Nothobranchius furzeri: one gene and its partners. The protein of the gene in region 3 purifies or fractionates together with the protein of the main gene of each other region. This does not show direct contact. Links are inferred from orthologs where the notes say so. Each region holds a gene or a part of one and is shown on either strand. Other genes may lie near its edges.

What was found.
Region 1: the proteins of ap1b1 (region 3) and ap1s1 fractionate together in Homo sapiens (co-fractionation; 6 studies listed by BioGRID and IntAct, with this or other methods). This does not show direct contact. The link is inferred for Nothobranchius furzeri from reciprocal best matches to the Homo sapiens genes AP1B1 and AP1S1.
Region 2: the proteins of ap1b1 (region 3) and eps15 purify together in Homo sapiens (affinity purification with mass spectrometry; 3 studies listed by BioGRID and IntAct, with this or other methods). This does not show direct contact. The link is inferred for Nothobranchius furzeri from reciprocal best matches to the Homo sapiens genes AP1B1 and EPS15.
Region 4: the proteins of ap1b1 (region 3) and AP-1 complex subunit sigma-2 purify together in Homo sapiens (affinity purification with mass spectrometry; 5 studies listed by BioGRID and IntAct, counting the BioPlex papers as one, with this or other methods). This does not show direct contact. The link is inferred for Nothobranchius furzeri from reciprocal best matches to the Homo sapiens genes AP1B1 and AP1S2.

Annotation. Positions count from the first base shown.
Region 1 is NC_091743.1:88,615,219-88,620,096, forward strand, and holds the start of ap1s1 (AP-1 complex subunit sigma-1A), read left to right. Parts: upstream 1-1,757; 5' UTR 1,758-1,904; coding exon 1,905-1,907; intron 1,908-4,878. UniProt on the Homo sapiens protein: Subunit of clathrin-associated adaptor protein complex 1 that plays a role in protein sorting in the late-Golgi/trans-Golgi network (TGN) and/or endosomes.
Region 2 is NC_091748.1:56,869,633-56,874,160, forward strand, and holds the end of eps15 (epidermal growth factor receptor substrate 15), read right to left. Parts: exon of another isoform or gene 3,615-4,528; intron 2,768-3,614; coding exon 2,627-2,767; coding exon of another isoform or gene 2,532-2,626; 3' UTR 851-2,531; downstream 1-850. UniProt on the Homo sapiens protein: Involved in cell growth regulation. May be involved in the regulation of mitogenic signals and control of cell proliferation. Involved in the internalization of ligand-inducible receptors of the receptor tyrosine kinase (RTK) type, in particular EGFR.
Region 3 is NC_091757.1:46,121,878-46,126,309, reverse strand, and holds part of ap1b1 (AP-1 complex subunit beta-1), read right to left. Parts: intron 2,370-4,432; coding exon 2,340-2,369; intron 2,263-2,339; coding exon 2,125-2,262; intron 2,050-2,124; coding exon 1,904-2,049; intron 63-1,903; coding exon 1-62. UniProt on the Homo sapiens protein: Subunit of clathrin-associated adaptor protein complex 1 that plays a role in protein sorting in the late-Golgi/trans-Golgi network (TGN) and/or endosomes.
Region 4 is NC_091749.1:41,411,853-41,416,972, forward strand, and holds AP-1 complex subunit sigma-2, read left to right. Parts: upstream 1-1,590; 5' UTR 1,591-1,697; coding exon 1,698-1,700; intron 1,701-2,143; coding exon 2,144-2,322; intron 2,323-3,757; coding exon 3,758-3,866; intron 3,867-3,969; coding exon 3,970-4,107; intron 4,108-4,258; coding exon 4,259-4,306; 3' UTR 4,307-4,774; downstream 4,775-5,120. UniProt on the Homo sapiens protein: Subunit of clathrin-associated adaptor protein complex 1 that plays a role in protein sorting in the late-Golgi/trans-Golgi network (TGN) and/or endosomes.

The DNA of each region.
Region 1 (4,878 bases), on a different chromosome or scaffold from region 3:
GGGAAGTCTGGGCCTCTTGGCTACGGCTGCTGCCCCCGAGACCCGACCCTGAATAAGCAGCTGAAAACGGATGGTTGGATGGACTCCATATTTTATTTCAATCCTTCTTTTGAATTATTGCCGTACTGTTTTTATGTTCAGCACTTTAGTCAGCTGTTGCGTAGTTTTTAAATGTGCTATTTAAAAAAAAAAACGTGGTATGGTCTTTCAGATTATTAATTTCTTTTTAAAAGAGTACCTCATATCACTGAAGGGTCTGAAATCCAGCAAAGGTGGAAGGGTCAGCATGACAAAAGATGGTTTAATCTAATTAGACCCATAAACCAGAACCAATCAGACATTCTTTTATGTATGCTAATAATTCAGTATTCATGGAAGTCCCATGATTTTATTGGTTATTTAAAAAGGAGTCTGTTTCAGTGTATAAATGATCGCCCACACACTGGCTGGTGTAAAATCCCCTGCTTCTGGTAGTAAGTTGATGAAGAGCCCCACTCTGTGGTCATATCTCTTCACTGTTTTCATGGGACTTTGTTTTTTCTCCCAGGTGGGAGTTTTAAGACATCGGTCGACGGTTCTCAGTAAGGACAGTTTAGATAGGGGGAACAGGATTACAGGTACAGAAAACACACCGCAGGAAAATTCATGAACACTATAAATTCATGTCAGTGAATGTGAATGGTCAAAGCAGTCCTATAAAAAAGTAAGATGATAGCTTTTTTTTGTTCAATTTGTTTTTTCAACATTTAGCTCAGATTTTCTAACAAGAAGAGCTGAAAAGTATAACCACAAATGGCACAAAACCAGCCTATACGTACGCCAATGACATATTGGTAAAACTCCCAAATCCAGGCTCTAGCATACCTTTGTTCATGCCCTCAGAGAGGAAGGAGGTATCACACCCGTTTTATTTAATTTTATTCACACCCAAAATGTAATCATCCAGTATTTGTGAGTTCTCATACCAAAGTCCTCTCCCACCGTTTTGATAATAAGTAGCTACAAAAGAATCACAAAGGAAATCATCAGGACAATGTGGTACAGCCAGAGGTGGAAAGAGTACTAAAATTTCCTACACAAGTATGAGTACCAATACTTTGATTATTTTTACTCAAGTACAAGTAAAAGTATTTAAACATTAGACAATAATTTTATAAGCAATAAACAGTAAAAAGGAGAAAAAAGAAACACAAATGAAGGAAAAAAGTCTTAGCCCAAAGGGAGTGGGAAGAAGCGAGTGTTTACTCAGTCCCACCCCCTCGCCACACACTAAAACAAACCATGTACATATTTAATACACATTTCAGGATCGTTACATAAATGATCCGCACTTATATAGCGCCCCTCAGAGTAAGGACTCCAAAGCGCTTTACACTACAGTGAATCAATCATTCATCCATTCACACACACACACACACATTCATACACTGGTGGGGATGAGCTACGATGTAGCCACAGCTGCCCTGGGGCGCACTGACAGAGGCGACATACATATCATTACAATAATAAATATACAAATAAGAACATATATGAATGTTTTCTCTCACTGTGTGTGTGTGTGTGTGTGTGTGTGTGTGTGTGTGTGTGTGTGTGTGTGTGTGTGTGTGTGTGTGTGTGTGTGTGTTTCGTGCATGCAATTTCTTTCAGCTTTTTTGTACTGTTATATACCCTCCTCTATGATAATTCATTTGTTTGACAATAAAAGAGGCCTCGAATGTGTAATAGTGCAAAAAGCGGAGTCTGAAGTGCGCATGCTCAGTGGAGGCGGAAGTGCTCGGTACGGTGGTACCTCTCGTTCGGCTGTGTCCTGTTAGACACGGAGATGGACTTTTATCGTTAATTATCGTCTGAGCTACTAACTTCAGGCTGCACAGGGTGTCTGTGACGTTGGGGGCACGTTCAGAATGGTGAGTTGATGCGTCTCAATCGGTGGAAAGTGCCGGGTGCTAACTTGTGCTAATGCCGATAAGGTGTCAGCAATTCAGGAAGTGCCCACCTGCGCTCCGCTCACCTGGCGAACGGGCCTGGAGAGGGGAGACGACCCGGATCATGGTGCCGTTCTTACTGTGGGCTAAGTCGCTGTTGCTTGGTTGAGGTGTTTTAAGACCCGCTCCCTTCCTCAGCTTCAGTTCCAGGATTCGATTCAGCTCAATGCGTTTATTTAGTTACACGACACCAGCACACAAGATCCAACCCGTTCCCGTTCATGTTCGGGTCGATGGCACTTCCAGTCAGTGAGTTCCGTTCACTTCTCGCTAAAGCCGATTCATTCTAAAAGGCCGAATGTTCTCGGATGGAGTATTCATTCTTCACTTAAGCCGTTTGGGTTTTCAGACCCATCTTGCCAAAACTGACATAGAATAGAAAAATAAAAGGCGGGAATAAATTATAAATAAATGACAAAATGCAGAAAAAATAGCTATTTTAAATAGTTGGTAAGAAATATGTTTATTTCCACATTTATGTATCGGTCCTTGTCAGGTGACATATGGGGTGCTGTAGCGCGTTGCATGATGGAATAGCTAGGTGTCTGAACAAAGGAAGCTTTGTGAGCTAAACCCGGTACACCTGTTGTGTGAAAGGCGGCCATGCCACCTTCACAAGAAGGCAAAAAATAAAATGTAGGCTGGAGTCGTGTTAACTGGATATTTTCTGTATTTAACCGTTCAGTTTTTGACAGAAATCTCAAGGCTGTTGGTCATTCTGACAGACAGGAATTACTCTGACGCGTGCAGTTGTGCAGACATTTTAAACGTTCTGCACGGAGAACATCGCAGAGGTAACGAGATCCATCAGACGATTCCCATCAGAACATCTGAGCATTATTTGTCAGCTGCAGCTTACCCTAGCAATGCCAGTCATACACCTAAAATGGCGCTAAAGAGGTGTGGTTGACATGCAGGTCACGTGTCTGACAAGGACCGATTAATGCATTCAGTTATAAATACTGTCCTAAAGCATGATTGGTCAACCAATCATCTTCCAAGAAATTCACACAACCCTCCATTCTCTGCCCTCTGAACGATGTGTTGTTAGTGCTCTTTAATGCGGACTTATTAGGGATGCATGTTTACCAACATTTCTTTAAAAGGCTATTGATGCCCCTTAATGGTTAATAGCCGGTTAACTAGAAACCAACCAATGGTGGTGCTGATTACTGGTGGAACACCGGTGTTTCGACTCTCTGTGCTGCTCGTCGAAATGTGCTACTTTGGGGAAATACGCATGAGCAGATGGATTACTTCATCACAGGTTTACCTGAAACGCGCTACTATGACTGGGCGATATGGCCTAAAATCAACATTGTTATGTGCCCGTCCCATTTATCGGTTCCTTTAAAACCCAGTTCCGTTAGAACTTATGAGACGGAGCATCCATCAGGGTTCGATGGGGATGTCGGTGAGTATTATGGTATTAGATCCTGGTTTGGGCGTCCTAAGTTAGAATCATATCTTTTATTTTAAAGGTGAAATAATATGTAAGACCTTTCCTTCTGTAGTAGCTCACTTCTTTTTAAGCAATCCCGTTATCTTAAGGTTTCTTTATATCAATCTGTCACAAACCGTAAAGTAAGTCCTGATAATTCCAGAACCCATAATTAATGTGCTTACCTCTGTGCAATTAATGATCAGGGCTTCCACTCATGAAGCTTTAGAGAAAACCTGAAAGAATCAGGATTATGTTTCTTTTTCAAAAAAGGTTTATTACAAAATCAAAATACAAAAATGGGTAAATAAAAAACAACTGCTATCCCCCAAGGAGGAATTAGTTCAAAATGATTAAAAAAGAGTTAGTTTACACTAGCTCCTGTCTTCTCAGAATGAAAACTCCCAAGTTACCTCTTCCAAAAAAGTCTGTCATCCCCCATCCAGGTTTGGACGGGGGATGACCCCTCCAAATCTGCTCTGTCTCTTCTTGTCCTCTGCCCCAGCTGCTGTCCGCTCTCAATCTATATATCTCTGCTGTTCAGAGCTGTTCTTATATACCCTTCCTGGGCCAGCTTTAGGTCATGGGGTCATTTACCAGATACACACTTTGTAGCTCAACACAAAACATTTGGTGTCATTACATGCAGCATTCTTCTTAACACAGGTCATTACATCATCTTTTGCAGCATTCTTCAGTTTCTCTCCAATGTTCCCGAGAGGGCTTCTGGATCTGATGGGCTTGTCTTCACTCTGTTCTCCTCCAATCCCATCTTTCCAAGCCAGGGGTGGGGCAAAGAGGTTGGGTCAGTCAACCTGACCTTTCGCCCAGTTCTGTCCTCGTCCCTGTGACCCTTGTGTGACCCTTGTTTCTGACCACAGTTTTTTGACCTGCAGCCCAACTCATGTCGGCTGGCTGATTTTGCTCGCACAAGCCAGTCCAGTGTGTTTCAGCTTGCCACTGTCTTTGGCATGTGGGGACTCGCAACATCCCCCATGCGAGAAAAATCTAGCCAGGGGACTGCAGCAGCCTTCTTTGAGGTGGGGCTGCCTCCTCCTCTGGATCATCTTCATCTCCAGTCTCAGAGCCAGAGTCTGACTAGCTCAGAGTCCAGATACACACCATCATCATCATCATCATCACTCACTTCAGTCTCAGAAGAACCAGAGGGTTCAGATCTGGGTTCCTGCTTCACCACCAGTTTCAGCTGCCATCTGGTCAGCTGAGCTGCTGGTTGGAACATCTCAGTCTCCACCTTCAAGCAGAGACTCTCTCCCTCCAGACTGAAGACATTTTTTACTGCAGAGCTTCAAATATTCTCCTCACACACCTGAACAGCAACAAGCTAACTCTGCTTGCAGCTGCTGGTGGGAAGCTTACGCTAAAAACTATAAAGTGTGGCAAGGTGGACAAATGAGGGCCCGGGCGGGATTCGATCCCGGGACCTTCGGG
Region 2 (4,528 bases), on a different chromosome or scaffold from region 3:
ACATTCTACCCCGATATCTACAGAAAACAGCAAAGAACCAACAGAAAAACAAAAAGAACACCTTTTGAATCATGAACTTAATGAACTCAGTCTGGATTCACAACAGTCCTAAAACGGCCATTGTTAGAATAACCGACAATCTGCTTCCTGCTACAGGCTCAACACATTCTCCTATAGTTCTGGATCAATCTGCAGTTTTAGACACATTTCATGTTTCACAATCTTCATATATGGGACAGCTCTCTCTCCTGGGCTAAATCAAACCTGTCTGATAACAATCACCTATGTTAACACCTCTTAAAGCAGTTTTGGAGTGCCCCAAGGCTGCGTACTTCCACCACTTCTCATTAACTTTTACTTGACCTCCCTAGACCACCTCATCTTCAACATCCACACACATTTACATTAGTACAAAGTTATCCACCCTCATCTACTTGAGGGACACCTAATTTGAAAAGCTTAAAGAAGCTGGAGATTTATTTTTATTATTGAGAAAGGATGCCAGCTTTATTGTATTTATTAATACTCACATCCAGAACTTTTCTTGGAATCATCTTGGACTTTTTTTTTTCATGTGAACCAAATCTGACCTGCCTTTTTTACTTCACTCTGTTGTGTAAAGTATACATTGTCAAAATATTAGAAATGCAAACAAGAAACTTAAGCCTTGAAATATTCATGTGATTGTTTTTATTTAGTATAAATACTGCTAAAAGGTGGCTGCTATGCTTTCCAGGATATTAGCAAACATTGCAAATGTCCACAATGTGAATTAAATTGTATACTTAAGATAAATAAATATATTAATACATCATCTGCATAAAAATAACACTACAGAAACAACAAACAATGATTTCTTTTCTGTATTTATTTAGTTTTCGTTAAATGCATTACATAGTCTGGCAAAATCTCCCAATAATGATTTTACTTACAAGTTAGAAAATACAAAATAAAATACACTTAGCTTGAGTTTAAGAAGACTTAATGAGTAAGCCCACAAGCATAAGTGGTTCTGGGTTTGTCTGTACAAATGTTATAGTGGCATTTGAAAGTGAAAAACTCTGGCATAACACCAGTCAGAGAACACACATGCAAATCTCTCCAATTTACAATAAACTTCAACAAGACACTGCATTTAGTAGAAAGTGCTGCATTAACTAGACAGTAAGTTGGTTTAACATGAAAGGAAGACATGTGGATAAAAACATGAGCTAAAATCATAAGTGCCATCCTTTATGCTGCTATGTTTGGTCAGACAAGTGACATGAAAACAAAGGCTTCAGCTGCCTTTTCCCTCATCAGAAACCTCCTAGCATCAGAGTTAAATAACACCCGTGGGAGAAGTGAAACGTCTCCATCTAACCTGCTACTGTGTATGTTTAAACGGTAGTGGGACACTTTGAAAGATGGGCTTTCTGCTCTCAGGTAGAAAACACAAGACATCGTTCGCTGGACTTCAACAAGACTCTGAAATTGATCAATTCTGCCAAATATGAAATGTCTAGTTTTAAAAAAAAATCCTTCAGGACATATAAAGTTAGCACTAGAGCTAACGTCAACATAAAAAGCACCAACTGTGGCACAGCTTCAAATGTCACGTGCTAAAGTGACAATTGCAGTGTTACATAAGAATGAATGATCTCTCATATTAGAGCTAAAATAAGAGAAATAGAAAGGATCTTAGGCAAAAATCTGCTTTTAGGGAGGCTAACCCAAGAGACCGTGGCTGAAAATTTTGAATTTATACTTTTTAAATTGCCGCATTTATAAAATTTTTCAGATATTTAACTGAAATGTTGAAAACATTGGAGGAATCAAATAGAAAACTCCAAACTTTGTTTCAAATTAGATTTTTCTGTTGTGGTGTATCTTAAGTGTTTAATGCCATTTAAAATACGAGTGTAGATTTCTTCAACACCTTGAACAATGGTAGATCAAATGCTAGGTGAGGTAAGCTAGCACTGAGAATTCAAAGACACTGAATAACGTAGAAGCGGAGTGTGATGGTCGGACTTGTTTTAGAAATCCCGATTTGCTGCCCTGATGGGAGAAAGAAAATCCCCATCTGCTCTTCACTGCAACACTGAATTTCAAATGAAGTGCGTTCTAATAATGATGTTTAAATGTAGCATCAGAAGGCAGGAAAGTGCCCTTGTTTCTATGGTTACAGATGAGCAGAAGGAAAGTTTGGGCACATCTGGGTTCGATAAACTCAGCATGCCAGCTAAAATCTGGTTAAATCCTCAGAGCTGAGGTGTGAATAATAAAATGTAGTGAGTTTTCTTTCTAGGGAAATTCTGTCTCGCTTGCATGTTTTAGTAAATCACATTCTGAACGTAACATTTGCAGTCATGTTTTAAAAACCTTAGGATTCATTTTCTCTGACTGGAACAATCTACTCCTCCATACTGGGATGTTGTCCTTCAGCCAAACCTGCAGAGGCCAACAGGATGGAAAAACAGCGCTCCGTAATGCCAGTGAACAGTGAGCAGTCAGGGGGAGGCGGAGGGGGAGCAGCTAGTGCTGCTGCATCAGTCCTGTGCAGTCTCCACCTTGCTTTGGTGCTCTCTGGGTTGGGCCGGGCTGTGCCGTGCCAGACCCCCCCGAGCCGAGGAGGAGAGCCTCCTCAGGAGAGTTCTGACTTGCTGAGAGCGATGGCGAGCTCCAGGTCCTCTTGCTCCTGCTGGGTGAGCCTTGCAAGTCGCTCCTTTTCCTCTCGCTCGCTCTCGCGCTTTGCCCACTCTATCATGTCTTCCTCGGTTGGATACTGCTCCATGAAACAGAAAAAAAATAAAACACAGAGCACACGTTGGATGCTGTTTCCTCTGAATCATCCCACACTGATTTCAAACTCAACGTTTGGGCTCTTGGTTGTTCACATTTAGTTATTCATTTTATTCTCTCACAACCAGCTGCAGCTGAAGAACTGAATACAAACTTTCATGTCAAGAGTGGCAATTTTTTGTCCCTCAGGTGAACGACTTTGTCAGTTTCACAGAAAGCATGTGATCAAAATAAAAGCAGGAACTGAAATGGAGACACCCAGTCAAGCTGGGATTTCCAGTGAGTCATGTGATCGGTGTCGGACCAGTTTAAAGGATCCAAAGCCACAGAACGATGGCAGCAACCCATGGCTTCAGCTGGGTAATCCTGTTAACATGCACAGTACCAGCAGGCTCTCCCCATGGACAAACAGAAGCTACAAAACTCACTGAATGTGTGTAAAGCCATGCAAAGGAAAGCCATGACCATGTTGACAGCTAGCTAGACGTTTTGGGTGGACGACGTGCAAAGCATGCATGATGAGACGTCTGAGACGTAAAATGAACCCGAGTGCTCATGCAGGTCATTTCTATCAGTAACTTCTGTTCAGAACAAAAGGAGAGCGGTTTGTACACCAGATCTGTTTGGTGATGACTTTATTTGGGGGTTAGCCCTTAAAAACAAGATAATGGATTGCTTTAGCTCCCTTTTAAACACCATGCAGACATAAAATGAGCTGCAGAATCATAAAAGCTGCTCAAAAGCATCTTATAATCTGTCTAAAACATGCTTTAGAAAAATATGTGCGGTGCATGCTCAACGTCTGGTAAATAAACTAGAGATGCCAGAGATGGTGCCCTTGATTTAACACTTTATTAAACTTTTCTTCAAACAGAGATTTAAAAACAAAGAGACAATACAAGCAACACAACGCTGATCAGACAGGGGCTGACATAAATCAACGGATGAGCAGATGGATGCATGGAGAGAGGGGTGCATGAATCGATAAATAGCAGCATGAGTAAAAGGTGAAAAAAACACTGATTTGAGGGATGACGGAGGCAGTTTGTAATCGAGCATCAGTCAGCCAGTCAAACACACAGTGTGTGTGGGTTAGGGTCGGACAGAAACATGCAGGTGGGGTCATTAAAAAAAATCATCACCGTCTTCTCGATCATCCAAACCCAAATTCACAACTTCTGCAGCTTTAGGGGGATGTTTCAGAAGCAGTTACAGCAAAGGTGCACTTGGGTGCAGTTTTTAATGGAAAAGGCCTCTGTGGTAAAACTTCCCTTAAATATGGTGATTTTGCGAAACAAGGTGTGAAATATTTCTTTCACCCGTGAAGAGTTTGGCTAAAGCTAGTTAGTTAAAACCCGTCTCTGAGCTTCAGCAGACACAGAATAAGCCGCTGGACCTCAATACACACGTTCACTCAAAAAGCAGCGTAAAATCTTTCTAATGCAGTAACCTAGTTTAGGTTATTCTGCTTTAACATGCGTGCGTGCACAGGGTGCAACATCAAGCAGCCTCTCATCTAGAAACTACTTTAGCTCTGAAATTGTGACTGTGGCTACAAATCAATTCAAATATATTAATTTATATAGTTTTAGGATATTTCTGTACATTTTTATGTCACAAATTACCAGAGAGCATCTATCCAACTACAAAAAAAGCCTTAAATTTAATCAAAATCTCCCAAATAAATGTGGCAAATTAGTGATTTTTAAGAAAATGGCATTAATAACAAACAGCAAACTGCAGG
Region 3 (4,432 bases):
TGGTCTGGTTTGGGCTCAGAGGAGTTAGAACCTGGAGAGGTCCAGCTGGAGCGATGCCAAAGCTGCAGAGAAACACAAAGTGGATAAAAGGGTCAAAAATCTGTTTTTCAAATGGTGACTAGACAGTTGGCACTTTTAGCACCCCCTAGTGCCCGTTTGTAGAACCAAAAGCAAATCTCATCTCCTTGCTGTGCGTTCAACATTTTTACACCTTAAAGGGACTTTACAGACTTTTGAATTTTTATGCTCGTGATTGCCCCCTCAGGCCAAAAGCGTAACGGCAGCTTCAATAGTAGGCTCGTGCACGAGGCGTGCATGCTGTACGTGCACACTCCTTGACAAAAATGACAGCTGAGACAGTCCTGTGTGTGTGTGTGTGGGGGGGGGGGGGGGGGGGGGGACAGGAGAACGCGCAGCTAATTAAATGGTAAAATGGTAAATGGCCTGTATTTGATATAGCGCCTTCTAGAGTCCTGGAACCCCCCAAGGCGCTTTACAACACAATCAGTCATTCACCCATTCACACACACATTCACACACTGGTGGGGATGAGCTACAATGTAGCCACAGCTGCCCTGGGGCGCACTGACAGAGGCGAGGCTGCCGAGCACTGGCGCCACCGGTCCCTCCGACCACCACCAGCAGGCAACGTGGGTTAAGTGTCTTGCCCAAGGACACAACGACAGCGACAGACTGAGCGGGTCTCGAACCTGCAACCTTCCGATTGCGAGGCGAGCACTTAACATTTATGATCTTTCTCTCTAAAATTTCATGCTTAAATAATTTGGTTCTGTACCTTTCTCTTCAGCACAGCCGACAAAGGTTTATGATGGGTCAGTCCTCCTGCATGCTCAGATCATTCCCTTCCCTTGCTTGGAAAGTTGTTCCAAAACGAAAGTTGAACCCACATCTTTTTTATCTGTGAATTCAATGCCGTTCGGCGAGTCTCAAATAAAAATTTGGGCATCTTACGGAAAAAAATATACCATTAATGTAAAAAAGAAACTCCAAATAAATTATGTTCACATCCAGAATCGGACCCAGGTCTTCTGCATGGGAGTCAGACATCTTACAAGGTGAGCTACACTCTAGTAGCATTGACACTCTCTGTAACTTTTATATCCTTGACGACACCTGAAACAACGTCAAACCAAAGAACGGTTCGAAACGAAAATGGCTATTTTGTTGCTAATTTGCAGGAAATATCTAGAAGAAAGTTCTACAGAAAGTAGCTAAGCGTCCTCAGAAATGTAGCTAGCTTTGTCACTAGGCATTAGGAACAGCGACAAAGTGGCACTACCTCACTCTCTGCTGCTAAAGCTACTGATAGCAAATGCTACGGGCGATGCCTGAGCGTGAACGCGCATGAAGCAGCCTGCTCGACCCGAGCATCTCTCTTTTTCTGTGATCTTACAGAAAAACAGGCAATCACAGTAAAAATGCCAGGGCTCATTCTACAGGACCAGGGCATTGCAGTAGAATGCATGTAGAAGAAATGTATTATTTCTATACATGTTTGGGCTGTCAAACTTCCATAATATCCCTTTAATCCAACAGCTGAAACGTCTCCCAGCCCTCATTAGTGTCTACAGGAGTGATTCATCACTAAATTAAACAAATCAGCTGTGCTCATGATCTAAAACATGCAGGAAACGTGCTGGAAGCAGACTGTAGTGCCAGATATGTCAGCTCATTTTATTCCATTTCCAAGTCCACTAGACCGGACCGACACTCCAAAGTTGCAAATGAGGTATTCTGGCCAGAGGGCTGTGGGGGTCTGAGTGACACTTCATTAAAGGGTCATTTTAGCACATTTTAGCTCAAGAAAATTATTTAAAAATATGAACAAGTTGCAAAGTATCCCTTTAAATGAAAATAGCTGTAAGATAAAAGCTCTTCCTACCTGTTTCTGTTGAACTGGATGGCAAAATCAGTCATGACGCTCATCGCTTTGTTGATCAGGGTCATCTCCATTTGGATGATTCCGGCCCGGCGGGCAAAAGTGCCGGATATTTCCAGGCCCTTTCCCTTCATGGCTGGGAGCCAAACCTAAACAGAGAGGCTGGTTTTAAAAGCCACCCATGATGAACTCCTTTAGGGAATCATTCCAGCACATGGACTCACCGTTTTGGGGGGGTTGTAGGCTCCCATGGGCATCCCAACTCCACCTCCAAGATCAAACAGGTCATCCAGGCCGCCGCTAACAGGAGCGCTGAACGAGGCTGGCGATGCGGCTGGAGCAGCACCAAAACCAGCTCCCATCTGTGGGTCACAGAGAACACGTGAAATGGTGCATTGCATTAGCGATGAAGGCCTAAGAAAACTAGAAAACGACTTACAGCAGAGCTTCCTCCAAGGTCTCCGCCAAGCTGAACACGAGGAGAAAGGAAAAGAAAAACTCATTGTGAACAAAACATCATAAATGAATAAAAGTTGATGTTAAAACTACAGGATCTTCTGAGGGGGTGGAGGAGGATGAGAGGAGGGGTGGTCTGTAACAAATAACAGTAGGGAGATGTCTGCAGACAAACCCAAGTGATTGGTTTCATTCAAATGCAGCTCGATAACTTTGTCTTTAGCGTTTTAAAGACTAAAAACAAAGATCAAACCTAAAGAGAGACGGAACACTGGAACCCTAACTAGATGGAGCAGGAAAACAAGCAGAGCAACACAAAGCTACCGAGAGGACATGGGACAGCAGAGGGACAAGTGGTGTTGAGCTCTAGGCTGATGCTGGCCTTTACTGGTCCAGCGTGCTCCTCCAGGACCAACCTCAGTGGGGCTGTAATCTGGGGACGATGAGGACTGATGTGGAACCTGAGGTGACCGAGTGTCCGAGCGCAGGGGAATGGGCAGCTGATCAGAAGATGAACGATCCAAAGACAACAGAGATGGAGTGAGACTTAACATGATAAATGTCACGACAATATGAGATGATAGTGTATGGAAACTACGGGTAAGTGAATAAAGAGCCCACGCTGTGCTGATCGTATCACACGGGCTTGTGCGAGTGCAAGACTCTACGAGAATCTGTAGGAGTTGCGTTCTCCTGGTCTTTAGAACACGTTTTTATAGGCACCACTTAACAGACGCTTTGAGTTCGTCAACGTAACGACAAGTAAGGCTGAATGATTTTGTGAAAATTCATCAGATTGATTCACTTCCACGCAATAATCACAACGTACAGTAATATTTACAAACATGACAGGAAATGCCATCACACCATCACCACATGAAAAGTTATTACTCAAATAAGCACAAAAAGCGCTGCGCTAACACCATATTTACCTCAACTCCACAAAGATAGTTTCTTGGTAATTCCCTTTCCCCTGTTGCAGGAAGCGGGCAAATGAGACTCGGCCACTAAATGAGCAACGGCGACAGATAACCACAGCTATGACCAATATATACAGTAGAAGTGCCACAGAAAAAGAAAATTACCAATTAAAAATAAATAAAACTATATCCCGCTGCAAACTCAAGCATCAGGGTCCCGTAACCTCCACAGCCGCTCGCTGCTGTTGCTGTAGCTCTTCTAAAACCTTGAGATAACCCTAGATGTGTAAAATATTTATATAAAAGGTCAGGATCAGTCACGATCGCTGCAAAAAAATTTTTTATGAAATAAATACCTGTTTTGACGATTACAAGATCACATCGTTTAAAAAAATTAATGAATCGCAGTTTCTATTGAAAAACGAAGATTGTTCAGGCCCAATGACCAATAATCTGACTTTTTAAATTTGTGCCAGAAATAAAATTGTCATCGAGACATAAAACAACTCCCAAGAGAGTCAGGAGTTTTGACCCTTCACCAGACGGTGATCATTAGGAAAAAGCTGGAACATTTAATGACAATAACGAAAATGTATTTCAAAGATGTTAATTTATGCGAGTTCTATCAGTAGATAACCATAAAAGACCAAAAACAATGACAACTGTTATTTGTAACGGGTTACATATGAGGGCATAAACAAAACACCTCCATAGCACCCTTTACACATCACCTCCCCGCCTGATCGTATCTAGAAGACTTGGAACAGGAAAAGGAGGACTGAAATAGTGAGATGGTCCTAACAGACTCATCAGCTGCCGTTTTCATGGTGATTTCAGTGACGCGACGAGAGTAGAGTAGCGTCCCACCCTGTTAACATTCTCTGAGTGTACACAGCTTGTAGGCGGCTCTGACCCACTTTTAATTGTTACATCAACAACACTCTTTGGCTGGGTGGACTGACCAATTAGAGCAGACCGGGCTGTTAAAAAGAGCTTTTAAGAGACGAGGTGACAAGGGGGGGGGGGGGGGGAACGGCAAACGTGCTGCTTTTGCTTGATGCTATTCTAGTAGAATCCCAAAATAACTCCACTGTTACAAAAGCACTGTCTGGGCTCTTTTAGATGAATATTTAGAGGATGGGCTTAAATGACTGGT
Region 4 (5,120 bases), on a different chromosome or scaffold from region 3:
TGCATCAGTTGTATTCCACATCACAGTTCCATGCTACTTTGTGTTGGTCTATTTAAGAAAATGTCAATAAAAACATTCACAAGGTTGTAAGGTGTGAAAATCTGTAAAAATCAAGGGTATGTTATTTTACAAAGCACTGAATATATATGATAATAATCATATTGATGATGAAAAATACATTTTATTTATTTCATCACTTCTTTATATTACGTTATTTATTTGGTTATTTATTTGATTTATCTTTCATGATACTGATGCTGTAATTTTGCACAACAGTAATTGTGACTTTTATTCTTTGAAATTTTTAGCATCGTATGATTGTGTTTTGTGGATAACTTTATGGTTAAATTGAGCTCCACGAAAAGTTCAATAGGATTTTTAAATTGTAATGACTCTAAATAACCTGCAACAGAACAAGCTAAAGATCATTCTTGCTCATTCAAAAGTCAGGACCTTACTGAGTAAATTCATTTATTTGACATCATCATATTAAAATATGTTTTTTCCATCAGATCACATAACCATTAACCTGGGCCAATGACCCTGTTTTTAACAGATTTGTGTGAAATGTATGTGTGTATATTTGTTGGTGGCTCCGCCCTTTCAGTCTGCTAGGCAACAGCATTTGTAGCATTTTTCAAACTGGAAGTGGGAGTGGAGTAATACTCTGGTAGGGGGTGACTTGCTCTTTAATATGTCTGTGTCCTTTGTGCTGTATAGTTCTGGAAACACAATTTTCATTTTTATTCATTGTTTTTAGTGGATGAAGTATTCAATAACAGCTTATTGCGTTTGTGTGTTTACCTGTAATCTTGTTATTATTTGTTTTCTTCCTTTTTCTCCAAGTGTGTGCGCTGCTGTAGCAAGTGAATTTCCCCACTGTGCGATCAATAAAGTATATTCTAATCAAAGTGTTTTTGGATTGTTGTTGTTGTACATTGAAGTTGCGAGACTTTCTTTATGAAAATTCTCTTCGAATAGTTCTTATTATATGCAAAATTATCTTTACTATTATTTGTTTAGAGCCGAAATAGAGACATATTTTAAGTGAAACATTTTAACACAAACATTAGAAAAACAACCATGACACGTTTTTGAAGACTTTTGTTGTTTTGTAATACCACAGCCAGCCACTTGAGGGCGACGAAAGTCCAGCAGAGGTCGGTTTTACAATTGAAGAATCTGAAAAGAAAACCAATGTGCGAGCGTGTGTGTGTGTGTGAGAGAGAGAGAGAGAGAGAGAGAGAGAGAGAGAGAGAGAGAGAGAGAGAGAGAGAGAGAGAGAGAGAGAGAGAGAGAGAGAGAGAGAGAGAGAGAGAGAGAGACTCTGCCCCTCACAACTGTTAATTTTACTTTACTCATTAATAGGAAATTACTGTGGGCGCATCTATGTAGCTGCTTAACTCTAAAAAAAGTCTTCGCTTCCTTGTGTGTTTGGTTGTTTCTTGTTGTTTTTAAAATAACACATTTAGGTTTCTGGTGGAAGTGAAATTCAGCACCTCTGATACAAAAATGTTTTCTGGATTGACGTACAACGTAAGGAATAACGGAACCTTTCAACCAATCACATTGCAGAATCTTTGCTGTGTTGACCAATCCCTGCGCTTGTTCTCACACCCAGCATTCGCTAGGCAGTTTAGCATCGAGCAGAAGGAGGAACTAATCATCTGACAGATAGAAGTGTCTTTTGGCTCTCTATGGTAATATTTTTAACTTTACTGTACTGAAGTTCAGTTCGTGTAAGTCACTGTTTTGCAGACCAAATTAAAAGTCATGAGTATTCAGTCTCGTTTGCTGTAGCTAAGCAGGCGTCGCAGGAGGGGGTGCAAATGTCACGAAACGTGGTTTAGATGTTAAAATAGGACAATTAAGCGACCTTAGCTAACGTGAGATAATCTAACGTTATGTTAAAGCCTCACGGGTGTGTTATGTACTGAGTCTAAAAGTCGTTTGATCGAATGGTACCTCCATGTATCCTAGTAAACAGTTCAGTCAAATCTAATTTCACTGACTTTTTGCCTCACGTTCATTGCTGCGTGATTAGTTCAGTTTCCCGCATCCATATACCCTCAAACATCCAGTCTTCCTTTGTTCTTCGTATTTATTTGTATCTACATGTCGACCATCATTATTCCTTCCTCAGATGCAGTTCATGCTGTTGTTCAGCCGGCAGGGGAAGCTGCGGTTACAGAAATGGTATGTTCCTCTGTCTGACAAGGAGAGGAAGAAGATCTCGAGAGACCTGGTCCAGACCATTCTGGCCAGGAAGCCCAAGATGTGCAGCTTCTTGGAATGGAGAGACCTCAAGATTGTGTACAAAAGGTAAGTTAAAAGTTTTAGAGGGCATTCAAGTACCCTCACACTTGATGATGCATGCACACACTTCTGTTTTTCCTCAAATTGACCATAATCTGCTTAAAATATTCACTTACAGGCTTTTTCACATCAATTTAGTGAGACCTGCAAAAACAAAAACGTTTCTCTATGATTTTCACTACAGCTAATTTATATAAACATTAATGTGAGAATAAAGTCTTTTCAACTGGATGCTTATTGTTACTTGTTGCCATGTTAAAATATTTATAGATTTATTTTAAAAACTGCATCTTCATCAGCAAATTCAGAAATAGTCTAGAAAAAGTTGGCTAAAGTAGCTCATACATACCGTGTTTATGTAAATGGCACATTTAAAAACATCGTGACAGCTGACCAAAGTACTTCACAAAGGAACAAGGATGCTCCGTAGTTACAGGACAGACAACAATGTCTGACATTACGGCATCACATCTAGTTGATAGAAACACAGCAAGGTATAATATCTAAAACAATGCACCACATGAACAAGGAGGTTAAAAGAGGAGGGGCTTTGAAAAGCAAAAACACAATAATGAAGACACGTGAGCAGCAAAACATAATCCAATAAAACACACATACACGGCAGATGGTAAAAGATGAAAAACCTAATTACTGACCAAAAGATAAATGATAAAAGTGGGCCTTAAGAACAGACTTAAAACGGGCTATTAATGGGGCCTGCCATACATGTAACGAGTGAATTTAGAGTTTAGGATTGGCAAATTAGACTTGCTCCTAGGGGTGGGCAATATAAACGATATCAGGTAGAAATGATAAAAAATTGGCTAATGATAGTGTTTTTGGCTATATCGCAATACCGCGATATTGCGGAGGAGGAGGCCTATATGCCTCAAGTGGCATATATTTGTCACATGAGGATATTTAAAAGCATGTCAATTTGACATGTATTAACAGAGGGGAAAAAAATATTGCAATATATATCGTTACCGCACATGCTTCAGATTATATCGCAATATAGATTTGAGGCCATATCGCCCAGCCCTACTTGCTCCTGAGACTTGTAGTGCAATTTAGGGACACACAGGAGCAGGTGATCTGCAGACCTCAAAGATGTGGAGGAGACATAGGACAGGATCAGCTCTAAAGGGGGAGCTGTACCATTACAGCCATCACACACAAAAGTTAAAACATGTAACTGAACTCGGAAACAGATTGGAAGCCAGTGCTATTCAGGATGGGAGTCATGTGGCCGCATCTGGACATGTTTGTAAGGAATCCAGCTGCTTGATTTGTGCCATAGAGGATCATGTGAGAAACCGTTTTAGGATTTCATTTTATTAACAATTACAAACATGCATGTAAGTTGTGAAAATACAAATGCTGTCCCACCCTTTTTGCTATTATTGATCTTTGCATGTCTGCTCTCTTCATACATAAATAGATATGCCAGTCTGTACTTCTGTTGCGCCGTTGAGGATCAAGATAACGAGTTGATCACCCTGGAAATCATCCATAGATACGTGGAGCTTCTGGACAAATATTTTGGCAGCGTGAGTTTTGCAAATATTACACATTTGTAGTGCTGAGAAGCTGCAAAGATGGAATCTTCCCTGACCTTCTGTAGTTTTTTTATATGGTGCTTTTGTCCTATAGGTGTGTGAGCTTGATATTATCTTCAACTTTGAGAAGGCCTATTTTATCCTGGATGAGTTCTTGCTGGGCGGAGAGGCCCAGGAAACATCCAAAAAGAATGTGCTGAAGGCCATCGAGCAAGCCGACTTATTGCAGGAGGTACGATCATTTCCTAAACACCACATCACCGTGTGCCTGAAAGCTGTCTTCTTTGCAAGTTAAAGCTTGTGTTGACTTTGTGGCTAACGCTGATATTTTTATGTATAAAATGTGTGACAGGTGTCCTGATACTTTCTCTTTACTCTTACAGGAAGCAGAGGCCCCACGTAGTGTCTTAGAAGAAATTGGGTTGACATAAATCCCCCTGCTTCTCACACTGATCTGATCACATCCATGCCTCCATTGTGTCTTCTCCTCATTTACCGTGTCAGTGTTGTGTTTGTATAACCACCATGAGTGTACTGTATTATGTACTATCCTGTAATGTCCTTTCAGTGTGGTGCCAACTGTGGTGTTATTGTGTCTCCTCACTACGAGCTCCGTCACCGTCATCTGCAGCATTTAGCATCACTTCTCGCTCTGCAGAGCAATGTAGCATGAACATGACAAACCCAGCATGATATTAAGATCATTCATCATCACCGATGGTGGAGTTTGATGTTTTAAGTCCTGCTGGCACCACTCGTCTTTTCCCATCACAGGGATTTATGTTAGCGATGGCAGAATCTGTGGACAGAGCATCTCACCTCAGCTGGTCATGGTGATTTTCACTACAGCAGAAGAATGCAGTTTAGTTATTAAAACGCCAAATAGCGAACAGCAAAAAGTGGTTCAAATCTGTTTACACGGACTCTCAGGAGTCCTCGCTACATTAAATTGCATCAGTTGTTTCATAGATTCAAATATGAGGTTTTGTTCTGTTTGGATACTAGAAACACATTTCAGAAGTCTTCTTTATGCCTTTTTTATTTGTCTACATTTTCCTTTTTATGAGAGGTAGGTGATTGAATTTGAGTGAAGCTTCAAATCCTGCGTTATTTTTCTTAAAGGTTATTAGATTCTGTTACAAATTACAGTAACATGACCACCTTGGGATTAAAGAATCCAAAACAAGTCTTGGGATTATACTTTGCATAGGAAGTTTCTGTAAATGATGTCTTTAATTTTTTTTT